Linked DNA regions of Macaca mulatta. The protein of the gene in region 1 interacts with the protein of each later gene in a pairwise test. Links are inferred from orthologs where the notes say so. Each region holds a gene or a part of one and is shown in the gene's direction. Other genes may lie near its edges.

What was found.
Region 2: the proteins of FLII (region 1) and LRRFIP1 interact in binary tests that used the Homo sapiens proteins (3 or more experiments, as listed by UniProt). The link is inferred for Macaca mulatta from reciprocal best matches to the Homo sapiens genes FLII and LRRFIP1.

The regions. Positions count from the first base shown.
Region 1 is NC_133421.1:19,829,126-19,831,743, reverse strand, and holds the end of FLII (protein flightless-1 homolog), read left to right. Parts: coding exon 1-18; intron 19-149; coding exon 150-304; intron 305-389; coding exon 390-450; intron 451-555; coding exon 556-684; intron 685-1,087; coding exon 1,088-1,194; intron 1,195-1,277; coding exon 1,278-1,383; intron 1,384-1,514; coding exon 1,515-1,580; intron 1,581-1,661; coding exon 1,662-1,796; 3' UTR 1,797-2,097; downstream 2,098-2,618. UniProt on the Homo sapiens protein: Is a regulator of actin polymerization, required for proper myofibril organization and regulation of the length of sarcomeric thin filaments. It also plays a role in the assembly of cardiomyocyte cell adhesion complexes.
Region 2 is NC_133417.1:143,002,335-143,005,989, forward strand, and holds part of LRRFIP1 (leucine-rich repeat flightless-interacting protein 1), read left to right. Parts: intron 1-924; coding exon 925-1,066; intron 1,067-3,429; coding exon 3,430-3,655.

The DNA.
Region 1 (2,618 bases):
TTCCCTGGGAAGCTGGAGGTGTGCCTGGCAGCCCCGCGAGCCCGAGGCCAGGCGGAGGGGTGTGGTGGGGCCCAGACCCAGAGAAGGTTAGGCTCCTGAGGGGAAGGTGGGGGTCCAGGGAGCTGCCCCTAACACTTCCACATCCCCAGGTGGTACGCATGACGCAGCAGCAGGAGAACCCCAAGTTTCTGTCCCATTTCAAGAGGAAGTTCATCATCCACCGGGGCAAGAGGAAGGCGGCCCAGGGCGCCCAGCAGCCCAGCCTCTACCAGATCCGCACCAACGGCAGCGCCCTCTGCACCCGGTGCCTGGCTGGGGGAGGACACAGTGGCGAGCAGGGGTCAGGGAACCAGGCCTGACGCCTTGCTGATGCCCCATCCCTTCCACAGGTGCATCCAGATCAACACTGACTCCAGTCTTCTCAACTCCGAGTTCTGCTTCATCCTCAAGGTGGGGTTGTGGGTGTGAGCCAGGGCTCCGTGGACCAAGGGGTGGGGTGTTTGGGCGCTGAGTCAGCTGCAAACACCCCCACCCCCACCCCTGCACACTCCCCAGGTTCCCTTTGAGAGTGACGACAACCAGGGCATCGTGTATGCCTGGGTGGGCCGGGCATCAGACCCTGACGAAGCCAAGTTGGCAGAAGACATCCTGAACACCATGTTTGACACCTCCTACAGCAAGCAGGTCAGGAGGCGGGCGGGCGGGCGGGCGGGCAGGCGGGCGGGCAGGTCAGGCGGCAGGCGGGCGGGCAGGTCAGGAGGCGGGCGGGCAGGTCAGGAGGCGGGCGGGCAGGCGGGCGGGCAGGTCAGGAGGCGGGCGGGCAGGCGGGCGGGCAGGTCAGGAGGTGGGCGGGCAGGTCAGGAGGCGGGCGGGCAGGTCAGGAGGCGGGCGGGCAGGCGGGCGGGCAGGTCAGGAGGCGGGCGGGCAGGCGGGCGGGCAGGTCAGGAGGCGGGCGGGCAGGTCAGGAGGCAGGCGGGCGGGTGGGCAGGCGGGCGGGCAGGTCAGGAGGCGGGCGGGCAGGCGGGCGGGCGCACACAGGGGAGCCAGGGCAGGCAGGGGCCCTGGGCTGGACTGGCCTTTCCCGCAGGTTATCAACGAAGGCGAGGAGCCTGAGAACTTCTTCTGGGTGGGCATTGGGGCACAGAAGCCCTATGACGACGATGCCGAGTACATGAAGCACACACGGCTCTTCCGGTGAGGCCAGGGCCCCGACCCTCCCCTCGGTCCTGGCACTGCTGCTTATGACCTCTGGCCTCACCTTGACCCTTGATTCCCAGGTGCTCCAACGAGAAGGGCTACTTCGCAGTGACTGAGAAATGCTCCGATTTTTGTCAAGATGACCTGGCAGATGATGACATCATGTTGCTAGACAACGGTCAAGAGGTGCGATGTTGCCACTGGCCCTGCCCATCTGAGGCGGCGCCCATAGACTTATAAATGGGAAATTTGGGGCCAGGAGCAAGGGGGTGTTCCCAGGCGCCCGTGCAACCGTATCTCCTCTGCTGCCCCCACAGGTCTACATGTGGGTGGGGACCCAGACTAGCCAGGTGGAGATCAAGCTGAGCCTGAAGGCCTGCCAGGTAAGGTGGGTGGAGGGAGGGCCGAGGTGGGCCTGTGGGCAGGGCGGGGTCATCACCCAAGGCTCGCTGTCCCCTTGCCAGGTGTATATCCAGCACATTCGGTCCAAGGAACATGAGCGGCCGCGCCGGCTGCGCCTGGTCCGCAAGGGCAACGAGCAGCACGCCTTTACCCGCTGCTTCCATGCCTGGAGTGCCTTCCGCAAGACCCTGGCCTAAGACAGGCTGGCACAGCCCCAGGCTTGGTAAGGAAGAGGAAGGGGCCCTCATCCACTGTCTGCTAGCAAAGAATATACTGAGGTGACAACGCCTGCTCCAGCCACGTCCAGTGTCACAGTCCCCAGTAGCCTCAAGCAGCACCAATGGGGATGACCCTGACAGGTGCCCTTAGGGGTCTGGGAAATCCGACTCCCTCCACAGTGTGAGCACGTGTGAAACCCCCTCACTTTTCTGCCAGGGATAAAGCAGATGTGGCTGCCCTTTAAGAGATATTAAATGCTTTTATTTTCAATATTAAAAATCAGTATTTTTAATATTAAAATGGCGCTAATTTTAACAAAATAACAGAAAAAAACCCCAAGGTACAATCTACAGGGAAACTCATCTTGGGCCCCCCACCCCCCCCAACACACACACCTGACTAGGCCCCAGCTGTGGATGCCCAGCAGAGCTCCCAGTCACATCCACACTCAGACACACACACTCATGACAGGCTGGGGACTGGCCCAGGACCAGGTACCAAAATAGTTTTAGAAACAACCGTCCAGCCCAGGCGCTAGAAAAATACTCTTTGCAAAGTGAGGGGGAAGGACGGTGTGTGGAGTGGGAGGTGGCACAAGGTGCTGGGCCCCACCTGTCCTCTTCCCTAGGCAGTGGGCCCCCCCAGGGCAGCCAAATGCCTGCAGGAGGGCTCAGTTCTGGCCCAAGTCCCAGGCCCACACCCTGGGGCTGGTGCTGCTCCAGGGCCCAGGGTCAGGCAGGACAGGACAGCAGGTCCCAGTGGAGCCTACAGGTTAGCAGGCGTGGGTCTATGTTAAGGGG
Region 2 (3,655 bases), on another chromosome or scaffold:
TTTATATTAAAACCCCCAATTTAAGGACTTCTCTAGATGAACAGTGACTTGGGTAAGTGGTTTGAGCAAGGATCCCGCTAATTAGACTTTGAGACCTACTAGATTACAGGTGGAAGAAGGTTCCCTGTCCTTTGTGGGCCATGCTAAGGCGTCTTCATGGGCTGCTTGACACAGGTGAAGTGCCAATGACAGCACTCTGGGTGGGGGTTTCCTGAACTGTCACCATCTGCTGCTTGGCCTCCAGAGTCAAAGCCAGAGCGGTGAGCCAGCCAGGTACAGGCTTAGAGCTAAGATTCGTAATTCTGCTCCTCAAAGAGGCGATCAGTACAGGGGAGTTCCTCACACACAAGGGAGAGAGACGCGGGCGGCAGGAGGGCGTGGGTGAGTGATGTCTGCAGTTGCGAAGTGCCGCTGTTTTCAGTGAATTCTGTTTCTTTTGAATATACTGAACGTTCTAGCCACCTCTTAATTCCTTCTTTAACGTAAGTTTCATATGCCCCTTTCAGAACATGGATATATTTCTTTCTTTATCTGGCTCTGCTTTTTAAAGAATGCAACCAGGGTTTTAAAATGAAAGGTTGCATGACAGTGACTTGCTTACTGCTCCACTTCACTTGGGGGCAGCCCACAGGCCACTACCTGTAGTTGAAAAGGATGCCTGGTGGAAGTAGCTTGTCACCAGCAAAGGAAGGCATGGATTGGAACATCTGAGAAAGAAGTAGCCTTTAGAGGATGATATCCCAGATTTGTGTGTGTTGACCGAATATTTACGAGCGCTGCACCCTAGCAGTTCTCTGTCTCTGTGGAGTTACCCTGTACTTCAGGAAAAAATGGTTTTCTTTTCCTTTTTGTTAGTTGTATTAAAGCAGAGTTTAACCTAATATCACTGAGTAAATATTACGATGAGCCTATTTTTGTTCCCAGAAACACGGAATAATCCTAAATTCAGAAATAGCTACCAATGGAGAGACTTCTGACACTCTCAATAATGTTGGATACCAAGGTCCTACCAAGATGACGAAAGCAGAGTTAAATGCCCTCAAGTCGACAGGGGATGGGACCCTAGGTAAGTATTTGCTTTCCTTCGGCTTCTTCCGCCTTTCCACTCAGCATTGGTTCACCCTCCATGCGCTGTTGGGGTTGGAGCCACTGTCACTGCTGGGTTAACAGTCACCGGCATGCCATTTGTTTCATCACTTCATGGTAATTTCCTTACCACCGGTGTGGTCATCCACGTGTTGTCTGGCATGCATCTCTGTGTCGTGCACCATCAGTGGCTCAAGTATATCTTTTCTTTTGCTGCTCAAAGCTACCAAGCAAGACTGTGAAGGCAAGGAAAGTGGTCTCAAAATTAAGTAACAATGTGGAGAGTACTATTTGGTTTTCCTCAGACACATATATATCTGTACATATAAAGTGTGGCTTTTTAAACTGATTCTGTGACAGAATTATCAAAAGATCAGAATAGTCGAGGCTGTCAAGTCAGTAAGTTGGCCATATTTGCAAGCCAACCTCGACATCCTGGAAAGCATTCAGCGTTTTGAGGGCACGGGGTGCCTGTGGACAGCAGGTCCATCTGTGTTGCCGTTTTCAAGCCACGCTCGAGGCGAGCGGGCGGCCGTGGTAGGGGTGTAGCCGTGCTGAGAGTCTGAGTATGCCCACTTTGTCAGAGGAGATCCTCCTTTGTATGCCATGTGTTTGCTTCTGAAAGAATATAAAACTGGGGAATCCAGTAGATTAGAGGAGTATCTTATACCATTTTCAATGACCTGATTTGTCATAATTTGTCATAAGAGTTGGCTTTGGGAGGAACCTTCAGATTCTGGCGTGCAACCTGAAGTTGCAGCATGCAAGTGAGGCCTCATCTGTCACTGGTCACCCTCTGCATTCCAGTGTTTCACAAGGAGGCTGGAATAAGGTCAGGGTCCATGACTTTTCGTTTTAATTTAGAAACTTTCATCTTACTTCTTTTTATTTATGGAAACGTAGACACCTCCAGGCCCCATCTTCTCAGGACTTGTATTCCAGGGAGATACCTCATTCATTATCTTTATGACTATTAAAGAAACACAGCTCTTTTCAATTGTGTAAAAAAGTTGTGGCCAAGTGCAGTGGCTCACACTTCTAATCCCAATGCTGCAGGTGCCAAGACTGGAGGATCATTTGAGACCAGGAATTCCAGGCCAGCCTGGCAACATAGCAAGATTCCATCTCTAGATATGTATATAATTGTTGAAAAAAGATAAATAAATTAATTTCCATCATACCTTTATATGAGCTACCCAAACAGCTAGGAATTTGATTATGCTGCTGTTACTAAATCTTTGATAACCATTGTGAGATGTTTAAAGAACCAGAAATGTCAGTTTTGAAAGTGGCCTTCAAATGACTTTTGATCACACATTCCTTCGGTAAATAATTGTAGGAACTTTCCAATATATATGTTTATTTTAAATCTATATATGTATACTATTTCATTAGTATAAAATGTACATTATAAAGCATATAAAAACATATGCAAAGAAGTTTTAGAGTAAAACTCTAAATAGAATTCCTAATATTTCCTCCATTTTCCCTGGGATACGGGCACCCCACTATGGAGACCACTGGGCTATAAAATTATCTAGCTTTGACTTTCAGTAACATAGTACTATATCTAATCTGCTGCGGTTTTGTTTGGAGAATCCAAAAATTCCAAAACAGTTTGATGTTCTTTAGACGATGAATAATTTATTTAATTTAGTGGTCGTCTTGATCTTTCAACATTTGCCTCCTGCTGGTCCTCTCTCCCTAGTCCCTTAGGGAATGGAGCAGAGGTATCAGGGCACGGACACAGGGTGTTTTCTCAGGAAGACAATGGTTGAGTGGCAGAAGCTAGATTTCTTTTCATATGAGCTATTTCAAAAGCATCTTCCTTGAGATTGACCCTGAGGCTGCATTTCTAAAAGTGCACTGAATATTCTTTGAAAAAATTACTTGCAAGCTGCTTTTAGGGCTGTGTGACATGCAGTGCAGTTTGACAGCTGCAAAAATACAAGTTGTCAAGTTGTGTGTTGAGAAGTGAGAGTGGGGAATTGCACCTTCAGTGCGTTCCTAAACCCATCATTGTGGATTGTTTGGCTGCCTGATCCAGAGTTCTTTCTATTTGTCAAAACTTAACTTCACCTTTAAAAATCTGTCCACACAAGATGGCACCAGCAGCCACTCTGGCCTTTGATGTGGTGGCAGTGGCCCTCACTGACCCAAAATTTACTAATGCAACTGCTGCTTTGCCGCACAGAACTGGCAAAGGCTTGTTTCTCATGACTCTTTGATGACTCTCTTTAGGAATAGGGGTGGGTGGGATTTAGAACATGTATTTACATTCTAATGTAAATTATGTGGCCGCCACATCATGGGGTCCCTTCAATTTTCTCAATGGTCTTTTAGGAAGAGCCAGTGAAGTGGAGGTGAAAAATGAAATCGTGGCGAATGTGGGGAAAAGAGAAATCTTGCACAATACTGAGAAAGAACAACACACAGAGGACACAGTGAAAGATTGTGTGGACATAGAGGTATTCCCTGCTGGAGAGAATACCGAGGACCAGAAATCCTCTGAAGACACTGCCCCATTCCTAGGAACCTTAGCAGGTGCTACATATGAGGAACAGGTTCA